Linked DNA regions of Tamandua tetradactyla. The protein of the gene in region 2 purifies or fractionates together with the protein of the main gene of each other region. This does not show direct contact. Links are inferred from orthologs where the notes say so. Each region holds a gene or a part of one and is shown on either strand. Other genes may lie near its edges.

Region 1 (7,823 bases), on a different chromosome or scaffold from region 2:
TTCTCCTCTGTCTGCAGGGACCACTCTTCCCCAAACCAAGATTTTGTATAGCTTCTAGACAAAAGAGCTTGCTTGGCAGATAAAGTCAATTCTTGGGCTATCCTGGTGGGGTACTGGGGGGAGCAAAGCAGAGGGGAATGTGAAAGGCATATGGCTCCTTCCCCAAAGCCAATGAGACAGAACTCTCGTCTATGCAAAGAATAACCCTTCAAAGCAGCACACTGGTGTTGGTGGACCGAGGAGGGTATTCTTACATGTGGCGGTCAATCTTCTTAGATTCACGGTATCTTCTGAGCAGCCGGCGCAGAATTCTCATCCTCCTCATCCAAGTTACCTTCTCGGGCATCCGAGCATTGGCAGTACCCTTTCGCTTACCTACAGAGAAGGTGGATTAGGAATCAGTCATCGCCCAGGCTTACTATGGCGTGTCAATGCCACATGTCAGTTACTAAGGCCAGCTAATGGGTAAAAAGGATAGCTATCAACTTCTGAAACACTTTATAATTCACTGTCATATGCAAAGCACTTTACTTCATTTATCCTCACAACATCCTTAAGCAGTATTACCTCTATTTCATAACTGAGGATTAAGTATTTAATTTCTTCTTTCACTTACACAATTTTTGGTGAAGCACAAATAAGGCAATTATTCCCCCATTTATTTCATTCAGAATTATGGATATGACAGGGTGCTCACCAAGGCTGTATAGTAGGCTGGAAGAGGCTCTGAACATGGAATGACCTTTGTCTACCTGAATCACTTACCCCAGGGTAGTTTTAGGATTAAAAAGGACAACTTTTAATCTTTGGCACAGAGCAGGAGCTCAATAAATGTGACTTCTTTCTACCAAGATTATTTTCAATTCCAACAAGAGTACCAACTTCCTGATTTGCACACAAGCAAAAAACACACGAGATATCGTGGAATAAGAAAAGGGCTCAAGATGAGACAGAGCAGGAAGAAAAAGACTCCAAATATGTGACATTCTCACTCTAGACTCAAGCACCTAATATTTCTTAAGCCATGGAGAAAGGTAGAAAACCACAGTTACCTATGCCCATATGCCTGCCCTTCCGGCGGGCTAAGGTGTTTTTCCGGCATCGCGCTCGGGAATGGACAGTCACTGGCTTGCGGATAATGAGCCCATCTTTGATAAGCTTCCGAATCTGCTGACCTGGGAAAACATAATGCACCTAGTCACTGAACTGGGGCTGAGCCCCTACAGAAGCAGCTGCAAAGGTGAATCCAAACTTTTAGATCTCTGACCCAGTGGTCTTAAGATGGTAAAAATACTGGAACCTCTGTATTTCTTGCTTTCTCTTGTTTTACATTTCTCCATGTTAAATGTCTTATATTATATAGCACATTCAAAAAATATACATCTGGGGATGTGTGATCAAAATAGTGTACAGCCAGTCACCTGCCTTACCTATTACTTATTGTCGATTGAGATTTTTTTTTAGCACCACGAACCCCTAGAGGTAAAGCACTTCCTTGAAATTAAGTGGAAGTAAATAGGAGTGTCTTTGTGCCACCTGCAGGCCTGACCTCTGTAACTGCCTTGAATACTAATATGCCAACAGACTTCTACAAAGATCCAAGGCCCCAATCTTCCCAATTCCTTGTTTCCTTGGCAACCTCTACCCCCCAAATCCCAAATCTTGCACGTAGCCACAAAACATAATACCCACTTTAGAAATAGCCACAAACATAACATTTCCACCCTGTCCTTCTGGAAAATGGCAGAAAAAGGGAACTCTGGTGCTGCCTTATTTTTGTGACTCCATTTTATAAGAACCAAGGACCATGAGCTTTCCCAGGACTGTAAAGAATCAATGCAGTCCTGTTACTCCTCTAACACAGGATGAGGAGAGCAGCAGGGTAGACAATCAACATCGATTCCAAGGACTCACGGGAATTGGCATTGGCGATTTCATTGGTCTCATTTGGATCCAACCAAACCTTCTTCTTGCCACAGCGGAGGACGCTGGAGGCGAGCCTCTTCTGAAGCCTGAGCATACTGTGGCACAGAGAAAACTCCATCAGGCCCTGGAAGCCACTCCTGAGCAATAATAATGTGCCTCCCCAGCAAGACCCACCCACTGAGGTCTTTTAATGTTGTGATACGTCACATCTACAGGAAAGTGGATAAATCACATATAGATACTTGCTATAGCAGGGCAAACACACATCGCCACTTTTGCTACCCACACCACATTTCCAGAGCAAACACTTTCCCCAAATCACGACCTTGCTAAGGTCTTAAGCAGTCCTTAATGTAGGAGACAACTGACATTCCTGGGATTAAAATTTTGAGTTATGCTTTAAACGCTCTGTACCTCAGTTTCCATCTCTAGAAAATGAAGTTAACGATAAAGGTGCGATGGAGAGGGGGCTTATGCCCTTTCTGGTGTTCAGAGCTAAAAACAAGTGTTTAAAGGAAAGGCCCGTGGACCTCCTTTCCAATCTGGGGACTTAGGAAAAAAGTTCTTTGCTTTCTGGGCTTTTTTCCTCGTGTTATCACAGTAACAATAAGTGACGTCCGGAGGGCCTTTAAGGTCTCTCGCAGGAGGGATGAATGGAGAGGAAAGCGTCAAAGAGCTGGCCAATCACCTAACCCTCAGTGGCCGGAGGCCTGCGGCCTGCGGCCTGCGCAAGGCTTATCCCACGTCACACGTAAGCGGGGATCGGCTAGGTTGCGAGCGCGCCCAGCGGGTAAGGGGGTCGCAACCTAGTTCCCCCTGTGGCCTTTCCTTAGCCCACGTGGGTCGCGGAACAACCTCCTGCCAATCTCGAGTTCCTAGGACGCTCCCCCACCCCCATCCTCTCGAACCCAGAGCCCAGTGCACTGCGGCCTACCCCGAGCTCTGAGACCCGCCGCTTCCAAGTTGCCTCCATCTCACCTCCCTTCCCTTGTGGCCACGGTACCAAGCCCACCGTCCCCCACCCAGGTTAGCCGAAACCGGAGACCCACGAACCCTCACCTCATGGCTGCGACAGCAGCGCCGAAAGGAAAGAACTTGTTAAGGCCGGGCCCATCCCATTATCTGTGAAGGGGAGAGTCCATGCCCTGCTCCACTTTCGTTCGTATTTCCGTCCGTCTCTTTCTTCTTCCACACCCTAAACTAATCTATATTCTCTGCTCAGTTCCGAGATAATAGGATTCCAACATCAGGAATCTGTTTTTAACTTAAAAATATAGAAAAAATACCCCTCCCGTAGAGTAAAGTGGTATAGTCCGACTTCCTAATAGTCATGCGCAGCAAGGGTATCTGATCACGTGGGTATTGGATGGCCGGAAGTCACACTGGATTGCGTAGGCGAGGTGGGAGGGATTTGGTGAGAGAGGCCTCTTGCAGGCTTATCAGAACCCAGAATCGCAGGAAGAGTGTTTTATTGGCGAGGAAAGAAAGAATTAGTGAATGCAGTGAGAGCGAATGAAGGCAGATCTTTCAAAACAATCTTATTCATTCTCATGGTAGATTGGGGGCCTCTGGACCGCAGATAGATTACCAAAGACGTTACCTAGTATTTTTACGCTGCTGCGGTTCTTAATTTCTTGGTGCCTCCATTTTCCTCTCTGTTAAATGGACCTAATCCTAATATTTCTGTCTTCCAGTTGTGAAGGTCACATGAGTTGGAGTTTGCACTTTGCATAGGAAGGCATTGAGACAGCAAGCTCTATGAGAGTGGGGACCAATTTGTGGCACTAGAGGAGTGCTGTGTTGGCTGAATGGATGATTGGGAAAAGTTAAAACCAACTAACCAAAAAAACTATTCGAATGGAGGTACACCCATAGTTCTTTCCTCCTGTTTTGGAGCACCCAGTGTAAGAATTCAAGGAGAACATCCTGAGATCTAAGAAGCCTAGTTATGAGTTCTCAGTTCTGGCTCCAATTCCTTGCTTGGTGTCATTTGATCTTGATCACCTCTCTCTCTTTCCCTCTCTTTCTCTCATTTTCCCTCTCTCTCTTTTTTTCCTGATTGACTTTTTTAAAAGCAGTTTTATCGAGATATATTCACACCCTATACAACCTATCCAAAGTGAACAATCAATGGCTTCCATTATAATCACAGAGTTGTGCATTCATTCTTTTACTTGAGCTTTTCTGACTGCTAAATGGAGCAAAGAAGATCAAAAGAAGGGAAGCAATATTTAACACCACTTCCTCACTATATAATTAGTCTTATCCTCATTTTATACCTGAGTGATGCAATGGAAATTCAGAACCCAAGTCATTCTGACTGCAAAACCCAAGCCTTCTGTGTCACGCGAGATTCTCTTGTCCCCAAGGGGCAGGCAGGAACCCTGCTTGGTGTTGAAGTTGTTAATGAACAAACTTAGGAACAATGCTAATGTGTGCATTCTTGGATTTTTTTTATTGATTTTATTCCTTCATCCTCACTTCCCCTCCCCCCAAAAGGAGATGTGATCTAGGCTAGCCGTTCGCTGTGTGTGTTATCCTGGTGAACAGGAGGAATCAGTCAATCCTACAATCTCCCCTCCAGCAGAACACAATGTACTAGGCTTATTTTAAGGCTAAGGGGTCCTAGACAAATCACTCTTCTCATCTCTCAGCCTGAGTGGAGCAGGGTAAGGGGTGGAATAGGGAGTGAATGGGACAGTCCAGAGATTATAACTGACCCCTGTACAGCATCTTAGATCCCTCCCAAACACCCATCAGCTAATTTCATTCTTCCAATAAACCCAGTGACAAAGGCATAATATACCTGCAATTCCATTTTACAGGAGACGAAACCCACTCGGAAATGTGTAGTTACATACCCTGGGCCATACAACCAGTAGGAGCCTGAGTCGGATTGGCACCACAGTCTCTCCACAAATGGGGTCCAGATCTTGGGTATTTGTCCCCAAAAACAAGGATAAAAGGGGAACAGTTTCTAGGTTAAAGGTCATGAGATCTGATTTTAGCCAGTCTCATTCTCCCTCAGCTCCACATTTCTTTCTTCTCTTTTCTCCCTCTTCCATGGAACCGGGACCAGTGCTACTCTTGGCCTTTTGGAAGGGCCTGGGGATCCTAGCAACTGATTAGAGCAGGACTCCTGAGTCCCTGGGGTTCCGTCTCTTGCCACTGTCTTTGTGGGATCTTCCTTTGGACCCTCTCTCAATCACCCCACTCACCCCTCCACTCCCGCTTCAGCCCTCCTGCGGCAGCCCCAGAACTCTATTGAAGGAGGAGGGACCTTTTTGTTTGGTTTAAGGTGGCCTCAGTGCCACGCTGGAGATAAAGGAGCTACAGCCGCTTCCTAGGATGACCGGGACCGGGGAGTACCGGATGCAGGAGTGGGATGCGAAGACCCCCTGGAAGAGCGGTTTGGGACGCCGCTGGGGGTGCGGAGTGCCACTCATGTCAATCCGCGCATTCTCCCGACCCCGCTTGGTGTGCCCTGGCAACCGCCCCGCCCCCACCCGTCCCCCGCCCCGAAAGCGGGTTTCTTCAACCCTCCCGGAGGCCGCAGCTCTCACCCCAGGCCGGTTCCAGGCCAGCTCTCGGCCCCGGCCCAGGCCCGATCCCAGACCGGGAGGGGCGTGCCCAGCTCTCTAGCTCTCCCATTGTCTGTGCAGAGCCCGCGGAGGGGCTGCGAGGGGCGGGGACGGGGCGGGTACAGGGAGGGAGCGAGGGAGGGGTTGGGTGGGAGCGGAGAGGGCGGGGGGAGATGCTGAGCCCTCAGGAGCGGAGGAGGCGGCGGCGGCTGAAGAGAGAGGGAGGAGGAGGCTCGGCAGGAAGGGGGTAGCCGGAGGCCGGGCTGGGTGGCTGGAGTGGGTGCTGGCTGCGCGGCGCGGCGCTGCTCTCGGTTCGGACGGCTTCTCCCATGCGCTGAGGGCTCCGGTCTGGGCCGGGCGAGCGGCCGGAGGGGAGGTTCCTCTCCATGGTCCAGAAGACCAGCATGTCCCGGGGCCCGTACCCACCCTCCCAGGAGATCCCCATGGAGGTCTTCGACCCCAGCCCACAGGTGAGACGCGGTGGCCGGTCCCAAGGGAAGAGGGCCATTCCCCGCGGACCTTTGTGGGGCCAACTCGAGGGGCGCCGGGAAGGAAGGGGTTATATGCAGGGCACCGAGAGTAGAGGGGTGCTTGCACGCCCCCCCATCTCTGCGGGTTAATGATTGATGGGCGCTTGGCCCGGAGTTGGGCTGCGGTGCTGTGGAGCGGGAGGGGGCGGCTGGGCCGCCTGTCGCCCTTGCCTCCACTCCTCCCCCGCGTCAGGGTCCCTGCTGCTGGGGTACCGTTTCCAGTGGACTGGCATTGAGGGTGCCGGCAGGGGAATCTGGGCCTTGAGAAGGGGTGGTCGAGGGTAGTTGGAGAGCGAGCCCACGCTAGGGGGGCTACGCAGAGCACGCTCCGGGGCGCCGGGCGGGGGTGGGTGGGGCGGGGGTGGCACTGGGAGATGGCCGAGGCGATGGGCGGAGGGCGGTGCCAATAGGCTTCGGAGTCGCGGACCGTGGCCCTCGAGGCTGCGGGAAGGGACCAGCTCTGGGCCAGGCCCCCATCCCTAGGCACACTTCTCCCACCCATCGCTTGGACCAGCTCCCCTCCCCCACCCAACACCCACGTTGTCTTTCCTCGAGCCGCGGAAAGCACCTCCAAAGTTTAGAAAGTTGGATGGATGCCAACTCACTCTCCTGGAGGGGGAGAAGCTGGAGGAGGGGTCTGCCGCAGCACCCCTACTCACGTTTTTCCTATGCCCCTGGGTTATCGCCTGGAAGGGGCATTCCTGGTGTGGTGGGTGCCCATGGGCTGATCCGCAGGGCCTGAGGTGATTGTACCAGGGGATTTCTTTGGGACTTGTCCTCCTCCAGCCCACCAAAGCCCCAAGCATGAATCCTTCTCTTGCTGTGGCCAGCTGGGAGCAACTGTAACCACCATGATAATGTGGTTGATGGGTATGTGGGGGGTTCAGGTCAAACCTAAAAATACTCCCTCCTCCTCTCCAGGCCCCTTGGAGTCTGAAAGGCAACTGACTGGGGCTTCCTTTCAGCTGTCCCCTGTCTCTCTGGGTGCCACTCCCTTTTCCCAACCTCACAGTGGTGGTGGTATGAATGAGGCAGGGGCTCATTGGTAGGTTTATAGGGGTCCTCAAACATTGTTTGGGTAGATGTGTGGCCTGAGATAAGGCGAGGTGAGGGAGGATCCTCAAAGGTCCCCAGGTGCCCTCTTCTCCCACCTACTCTTCCTCCGTCCTGGAGGACCCAGGAGCCAGAGCCTCCAGTCTGGTCCCGGCTCATTCAGGTTCTTTGGTGAAAGGAAACTCTAGGATGGAGACTGGGGAGTGGGAGTGGGGGGCTGGGGAAGAGCTTGGAGGGCCTGAACTCTCAATCACCCCCTCCCTAACTTTTTGGACTGACCAGGGGCCGAGTGTGTACATTGAGTTGGGGGAGACAAAGAAGAAGCCCCTTTATAGGAGGCCTGGAAATACCCGAAACCTGTAACCTGAACATGGGCTGCCCAAGGGGTGTCCATCTAAGCCAGAGCCCTGGTCAGTAAGACTGAGCCCGTTCCCCCCGCGGAGGCCTGTGAGGCTGTGTCCTAAGCTCGGCCTGGGGCGGGGCCGAGGGGCATTTAGATTGACGTAGCCTGGTGGGTACCATGGGGACAGGGCGTGGACAGTGGCAACTGGGGGTGGAGGCTGGATCCCTCTTGCCACCCCCTGGAGAGGTGTGGCTACTGTGATTGTGAGGGGGGGAGTGAGAAAAGGCCTGCCAGGGCCAGAGGGTTGGGGGATCTGCCCCCGTGACACTGGACTGGGATTGGATGTTTCCAAATAGGGTTTCATGTACCCTCCCCTCCCCCAAATCTAGT
Region 2 (7,888 bases):
CGTACTCTGGGGAGCACTCATGTTCGGATTGTCCCCGCTCCCCAGACGAGGAAAAACCCTTTACTGGAGGTCCCGCCGGCAGCATCGCACCCTCAGTGGCTCAGCGACTTGCGGCCCTTGTGCATGCGGCGAAGAATGACCTGGACGCCGGCCGGGGTGCTCAGACGCCGGACCCAGCCGTGCTTGTGCTTGCGTTTGATGTTGCTCGGCTGGTACTCGTTCCCACGCGCCTTGCCCCGGGCCTGCTGCAGAGACGGGAAGCCCCAGGCGTCCGGGAGCCCCAGCCAGGCCCGAGGCTGGAACCACGTGCTGGGGCAGATTGACAGAGAAAAACGTCAGCAGGGCTGCTGTGTGACTTCGGGCGCGGCACACAACCTCTCTGAGCCCCCAATTTCCTGCCCCGGCGGCGTCACGGTGGGGGACAGCCCACGCCAGCCCGACACCGCCTCACTCCTAAATCTGGGGAACGGTTCCCCTGGGTACTCACCTGCCCCCCAGCAGCGCCGCCGACCTACCGCCGCGGCCCCACAGGCGACCCAGAGTACCCGCCAAGGAAGCCATGTCTCGCCGGGACAACGCCGTCGCTGCCGACGGCGGTGCCGCAGCCGCAGAACGAAGTCTTCTGGGAAATGTAGTTCCTCCTCCGGCGGAGGCCTTGCCGCGGAGGCCTCCGGGACTTGTAGTTCCACGCCTGCGCATCAAAGGAGCCGGCGTCCGTGCCTGCAGGGAAACGTAGTTCTTCGGGTAAACGAAAGGTGGCGCGAGAGCGGCGCCTTCTGAGCATGCGCATTATGCCCGAGGTGGGGTATGCTGGGAGTTGTAGTTCCTTCTGTCGCCCTCCAGAGGGTGCCCCGTGGTGGCCGTGGCGCAGCTGGTGGTAGCCGCAGGAAACGGCTGGTCTGATCACCGCCCACCCCCAGCGGGAGCCGGGCAGATGGCACTCAGCTGGCTGGCAGCTTCTCTCTGTCCCCTGCCAAGTCTCCGCCCCTTGGCGGGGAGCCCAGGAGGCCCGAGATCTAGCTGGCTGGGTGTCCTTGGCGTGGTCCCTGCCTCTCCCCAGGGCATCAGCATCTCGGTGGTAAGGTGCACGGGCCGCACGTTTATCTTTGCCGGTCTTGCCCTCCTTCTGGCTCTGATACTCAGATCTGAGCCCCTCCCCTGTCACTCACCCTCCGTGGCTCCCTCTTGCCCCAGGGGAAAATGTCCAGCAACTGGGGCAGGCACGTGAGGCACTCTACACACACACCTCTGGGTTGCAGCCACACCCTCCTCTCTGCCTGATGTCCCCTTGCTCATCCTCTTAAACCCTCCCCATGTGCCCTCCTCTGCCTTTTCCCCTCACCCTCGTCTCTCCTTCTGGCCAAACCGAGATCCTACATGGCTGGGAGTGTTTGCCCCAGGTGGGGCCGGGAAGGGCGGTGAGAGCCTGACCTGCGGCCGAGTCCCTCCCGGTGGACGCCCCAGCCTCTCCCAGCCGGGGGTGGGCCCAGAGAGCTGTGGGGAGCGTTTGCTGAATGAATAACCGTGCAGTCTCCCAGGAGCGCCCTGAGTGGGAAGGCAAGACCTGACCCAGCTCAGGCAGCAAATTCCAGGGGCAGGGAGTGGGCTCCTGGCGAGGAAGCCATTAACTCTCGGGCCTCTGGAGCCCCTACCGCGGCGCCGTCATTTAGCAGACAGCCATTGCAATGATTTTTTTTGATGAATGTAAGGTCCAGTGCTGACTGCTTGACCTTCACAGAGAACTCTTGAGGGATTAACTTCACCAAGAAATAAATGGGGGCTCGGGGCAGTGAAGTGGATGGCCCCAAACCACATTTCCAGCAAGGGGCAGGGGCTGGATTTGAACCCGTGGCTATCTAAGGGCCTCAGCCTGGAACACGGAGCTGCCCCCTCCGGTGCCCCCTCCACTGCATCAGCAGCCATCGGTTGAGCAGGCTGGTGTGGGAAACTCCCAATTCCCTACTTACTTACGGTTCAAAGTTTGAGCAAATACAAATTACTGGGACGTGGCCTCATCCAGCCTCGGGGTCAAGGCCCACCTCTGCCCCCACCCCCACCCCGCCCCTTTGCCTTGTGACCTTGTGCAAGGACCTGTCTTTTATGAGCCTCAGTTTCCCTACCCGAAAACGGAGGAAATAGGGCAGTTCCGAGAAAGGGGCTGGCTGAGGAGACCCCAGAAAGCGATGGGAGGGACCTGGCTGCCCTTCAGGGGAGCCTGCAGACCCCAGACTACGACCCCTTCTCTGCCTGGGTGCAGGCCCAATCCCTCCCGCCAACTCGGTGAGCCCCCGAAAGGGGCGGGGCCGCAGTTCCTAGAGCCCGCGCCCAGGTCGGCGCCGCCGCCTCTGATTGGTCAGCTAAGTAGGACAGCTCAGGGCGCAACCGCGATTGGCGTAGGCGCCCGCCGGTCCGTACGCGGTCCCGCCCCACGAGGGAGGGAGTTAAAGGGCCGGCTGGCATCGCGGCGGCGGGATGCCCCAGCGCTGAGCGCCCCGGCCCGCGCCCGCCCGACCCCGCGTCACCATGTAAACGGCGCCCACAGGCGACGGTGGCTTCTCCGTCCGGGACCTCTCCGCCCCGCCCCGGGCCCCGGGGCACTCGATGAGGTGAGCTGGGAGCGGGCCCGGGGCGGAGGGCGCCGGGGTCCCCGGGGCCTCCGTGTCGGAGGTGGGGGGCCCGCGAAGCCCTTGCCCAGGCTCCTAGGAAGCTGCGGAGCCCCGGCGGCTAAGAACCCACCGCGGGGCTCACGGGCACCCGAGAGGCGGGGGCCTGGCGCCTCGCATCTGCGTCCCGCTCCGCAACCCGGAGTAGGGGCCCCGCCCGGGGTGGGGGGCGCGGCTGCTCCCCCTCTTTCAGCTCGTGGAGGGCCCATCGCGGGCTGCACCTTCAGCGTGCGTTCACCCCTCTGTGCCCAGGTTGGGGGTCCAGGAGGGGAGGGATCTCCATCAGCGCCCCCAGGCCCTAGACAATGGGGGTGCACTGCATGGGGCTCCCCCTCGCGTTATGTAACCTCCTGCGGTTGCCATGGACACGGCGGGGGGTGGGTGGGCCCAAGCGGCCGGGATGCAGCATGGAGGCCCCCAGAGGCCTGTCCATCCCAGTTCCCATGGCCACCATTATGCCTTCTTATGACAACCCCCCAGATCCGGGCTACCAACCTGGGGTACAGGGAGCAGCCCCTCACCCCACGGATCTGGGCCTCAGCTTGCCCCTCTGTGAAATAGGCTTGGCTCACCCCAGAGGCGGGAGCTCTGGGAGACCCCTTGAAATGAGTAGCTTGAGTGAGAATGGGGTCCCCCCTCGTTTGTCACTTTCCGGGGACCAGGGGCAGAGCCACTGGGGGTCAGCACCCTTCAGGATGCCTTAGGAGGCCCTTAGAAAATGCTGGCTTAGGGAAAGTGAGTTCATGAAAGATTGCATACATGAATGAATGAATGAATGAGTAGATGAATGAATGGGTTTAGGAGGCCTCAACTGCCTAAAACCCAAGGTGGGGTGGGAGGGTGGTCTTCAGGGCTTGGACCAAACTTGCCACTATGCCCCCTCCTCTAGGAAGTCCCCCTGACTCTCAGCAACTACCTTAGCCCTTCTCATTGGCCCCTTCCCAACTCAAGTTCAAAGAAGGACCTTTCTGGTGCCTCTGCACCCCAAAGCCGGAGCTGGAGAAGGGGTCTCCCAGTTGGGCCCCCCTGCCCCACGTGGCCTCGGGTGGGCGCTGGGGTGGCTGAGGCCTTCCCCTCCCCTGGTCCCTGAGTTGGCTGCTGCTCCCTCCCAGGACGCACCATGTTGACAGGGGTGGCGGATGGCATTTTCTGCTGCCTGCTGGGCGCGCAGCCCAACGCCGTGGGCCCCCTGGAGAGTGTGGAGTCCAGCGACGGCTACACCTTCGTGGAGGTCAAGCCGGGCCGCGTGCTGCGGGTGAAGCACGCCGGCCCCGCCGCGGCCCCCTCCCCACCGCCGCCGCCGCCGCCGCCGGACCCGGAGCAGGGGGACCGCTCGGGCCTGGTGCGCTGCCAGCGGCGGATCACCGTGTACCGCAACGGGCGGCTACTGGTGGAGAACCTGGGCCGGGCGCCGCGGGCCGACCTCCTGCACGGGCAGAACGGGGCCGGGGAGCCCCCCGCCGCCCTGGAAGTGGAGCTGGCCGACCCCGCGGGCAGCGACGGCCGCTCGGGCCCCGGCAGCGCGGGCAGCGGCAGTGGTGGGCGGCGGCGCCGCGCCAGGCGCCCCAAGCGGACCATCCACATTGACTGCGAGAAGCGCATCACCAGCTGCAAGGGCGCCCAGGCGGATGTGGTGCTGTTTTTTATCCACGGTGTGGGCGGCTCTCTGGCCATCTGGAAGGAGCAGCTGGACTTCTTTGTGCGCCTGGGCTACGAGGTGGTGGCCCCTGACCTGGCCGGCCATGGGGCCAGCTCTGTGCCCCAGGTGGCGGCCGCCTACACCTTTTACGCGCTGGCTGAGGACATGCGCGCCATCTTCAAGCGCTATGCCAAGAAGCGGAATGTGCTCATCGGGCATTCCTACGGGTGAGAGAGCCCCGGGCTGGGGCTGCGGCTGGGGGCTGGGGGTCCCCACGGGGACACCAAATGCCATTTCCCTCCTGGAAAAAATGCCATGAATACCTGCCACATTTTGCAATGTTTTCCATGCACCCCTGGCCTCTTCCCACTGGAGCCAGGAGCGATGAGAATGAGAATAAAAGATGTCTCCAGGCATTGCCAAAAGGTCACATAGCCAGCAAAATGGCCCCTGGTGTGGATGTGTGATCTTAGATGAAGTTCAGACATTGGGAGCGCTGATAGTTCCCTCTGTGTGGTCAAGGAAATGCTAGTAGGAATCTCATAAAGTCTGTTTAGGAAGGCATAGATGGCTGTTATCTGTTCTCCCTAATAAGGTGATAATTCCATCTAGCGTTTACTGAGAGCCGGCACCATGGAAGGAAAGCTTTGGGCTGTGGGACCCAACTACTACAAAGCAGCATTACACTCAACTGGCAAGGAAAACCAGCCAGACTGAGAACCACTGTTTTAGCGAGTTTGGCCAATGCAATAAGACAAGAAAAAAAAAAAGTTACTTAAATATCCCAGAAAAGGGAATCAGGGTCCAGAGGTAACATGGGTGGGTTTTATTTGGTTAGTTAGCCTCCCCAAAAAGTCAATGCTTATGCCAACTGACTCCTCCAATTAAATGAGCACCCAAACTGGTAGTTCCTGTTGACTCCTTTACATGTGTTAAATAACAACAATGCTATGAGGTCAGTGCAGTGACCATTTCACAGATGTGGAGACAAGCTCAGAGAGGTCAAGCAACCTGCCCAAGGGCACACAGCAAGTCTGGCATGATCAGGTCTGCCTGAGTCCTGCCTCTGTTTACACAGTGGCTCGATGATGGAAGCTCATTGAACCTTTGCTTTATTTACTGCAGAGATCCACAGACTTTTTCTTAAAGGGGTAGATAGTAAATATTTTAGGCTTCTGACCACAAGGTCTTCCCTACAGTTTCTCAACTGCAGCCACAGTAGAACAAAAGCAGCCAGAAAGGAATGAATGTGGTTGTGCCGATGGAAAACTTTATTTACAAAATACCATTTTACCAAATTGTAAACTTTATTTACAAAAGCTTGCCGACCCCTGCTTTAGAGGGAATGATGAGCTGGACTTTGGGCACCCTGAGACTGCACCCCTCCACCTGGCGTAAGGCAGGCTGGTGGGCCACGCCCAGAGGCGTGTGGGGTGGCTGGCTTATCCTTCCAGGGAAGAGTTATGCAGGAAACTGGGCGATCTTCTCTGGGGAGCTGAAGGGTTCTTTCAATCATTTAATCGATTGCTTTCCCAATGCTTGGAAATAAATCATTACTCTTTCCCTTTTGGGGGGATCATGGAGCCTTTGAGAATCCAATCAGAATTCTGGAGCCAGCTCCTCTGTCCAAAAAAATTCCTTCCTTGAAACATGTGATGTTGATGATGTTGCAATTTGGGGGCATCCGAGATGCACCAACCCCCCCCCAACAGATGCCCATGGACCCCAAGGGACCTGCCTTGTGGGGTGAGGGGAGGGCATCACCCAGCTCTTGCTCCTGGCCTTCCTCTGCCCTGCTGACCACCAGCCTTCGCCCGCCCTCCCTTCCTCCCTGGCAGCGTCTCCTTCTGCACCTTCCTGGCACACGAGTACCCGGACCTGGTTCACAAGGTGATCATGATAAACGGTGGGGGCCCCACGGCCCTGGAGCCCAGCTTCTGCTCCATCTTCAACATGCCCACCTGCGTCCTGCACTGCCTGTCACCCTGCCTGGCCTGGAGCTTCCTCAAGTGAGTGTCCCCATGCCACCCTCCGGGGAGGGTTCCCAGCCTCTCCCGGGGCTGCAGTGGGCAGGGAAGGGCGGTCTGCTACCACGGGGTGGGGGCTAGCACCAGGGGCTTCCCGGCCATGCCTCTCCCTCTGCCAGGGCTGGCTTTGCCCGCCAAGGGGCCAAGGAGAAGCAGCTGCTGAAGGAGGGCAACGCCTTCAACGTGTCGTCCTTCGTGCTGCGGGCCATGATGAGCGGCCAGTACTGGCCCGAGGGGGACGAGGTGTACCACGCCGAGCTGACCGTGCCAGTCCTGCTGGTCCATGGCATGCATGACAAGTTCGTGCCGGTGGAGGAGGACCAGCGCATGGCTGAGGTAGCCCTGGGCCCAGGTGCCAGGGAGGCGGGGGTGGGAGCCAGGGGACACCGCCAGGTGTCTTCCTGGGGTGCAGGCTATGGAGCTGTAAGGGACCCCCAAAGGGCTCTGACAACCTGGGAGATTATTTTGGTTGGAATGGGCTTTTTTATTGTGGGGCCATGGAAGACCGTTTTTGGCTGCCTCAGCTTGGGGACAGGGGTGCCCCTGGCATCTGGTGAGTGGGACCCAGGGATGCTGCTGTATACCCTCGGATGCCCAGGACAGACCCCCCACACCCCACGACAAAGAACAGCCCCTACCCGAGCAGGGAAATCCTGTTGCAGACAGGTCATAGGCGCCTAATAAATGCCAGTTGGATGGATGCGGGCGCCCTGCGCCTGGCTCCCCGGCGGGTGGGAGGGGACGGATGAAAGGTAGACAGCAGGAGGAACTTCCCGCAGATCTTGCTCCTGGCCTTCCTGAAGCTCATCGATGAGGGCAGCCACATGGTGATGCTGGAGTGCCCCGAGACCGTGAACACGCTGCTCCACGAGTTCCTGCTGTGGGAACCGGAGCCCGCGCCGCTGCCCGCGCCCGAGAAGTAGTAGGTGCGGGGAGGCGGCACCCCTTGGACAGTCGCTGCGCGGGCCAGGCGGCAGCCGGGAGCGGCGGTGCGGCCCCGCGTGGGGGCCGCTCGCCCCGGTGAGCGTGGTCAGGCCGGGAGACGCCCCCAGGCCGGCGGGGCGGGGCGTCGGGGAGCCGGGGGCGTGGCACGCTGCGCTCCGCGCCCGCCCAGCGTGTGGTTTCCGGCCCGTGACCAGAACCTCCGCAGAGGATGACCTTGTACAGAAGCCCCCCCCCCCACTCACCCCTCCCCCCCCAAAAAAAAACGCCACGGCGGAGACAGGCCCCCCCACCCCCCACCCCCCACCCCGCTTTCTGTCTTCCGTGTCAGTCGCGCTTGATCCTGGGGCCCACGTGGACCCCGTGCTGTCCTTCCCCCCCACCCCTCATTGCGGGGCTGGGGGCTACTGTCGCCCAAACGTGGTGGAAAGGGGCAGGCGCCAGCGAACCTGCACATCTCATCCTGTAACTTAATAAAAAGTGACAATCGTAGCCTCTGAACCGGTGCTGCGCGCAGGGAAGGGCCTGGTGGGTCGGAGCCTGTTTCCCTACCAGCTCCCTGCGCCCCCTACTCACCTCCCCAGAATGCAGGGGGTGCTTGGGTGGTAAGCCCAGAG

The links.
Region 1: the proteins of MRPL34 (region 2) and RPL19 purify together in Homo sapiens (co-immunoprecipitation; 3 studies listed by BioGRID and IntAct, with this or other methods). This does not show direct contact. The link is inferred for Tamandua tetradactyla from reciprocal best matches to the Homo sapiens genes MRPL34 and RPL19.

What each region holds. Positions count from the first base shown.
Region 1 is NC_135332.1:27,998,661-28,006,483, forward strand, and holds the start of RPL19 (large ribosomal subunit protein eL19), read right to left. Parts: upstream 3,066-7,823; 5' UTR 2,991-3,065; coding exon 2,986-2,990; intron 2,022-2,985; coding exon 1,915-2,021; intron 1,176-1,914; coding exon 1,053-1,175; intron 376-1,052; coding exon 255-375; intron 1-254. Other genes in the region: CACNB1 (voltage-dependent L-type calcium channel subunit beta-1), read left to right, coding at 5,894-5,977.
Region 2 is NC_135337.1:95,465,618-95,473,505, reverse strand, and holds the start of MRPL34 (large ribosomal subunit protein bL34m), read right to left. Parts: upstream 3,017-7,888; 5' UTR 2,885-3,016; intron 2,607-2,884; exon of another isoform or gene 2,435-2,606; intron 721-2,434; 5' UTR 700-720; coding exon 488-699; intron 310-487; coding exon 93-309; 3' UTR 1-92. Other genes in the region: protein ABHD8, read left to right, coding at 3,071-3,281, 3,776-4,529, 6,141-6,311, 6,449-6,665, 7,109-7,252.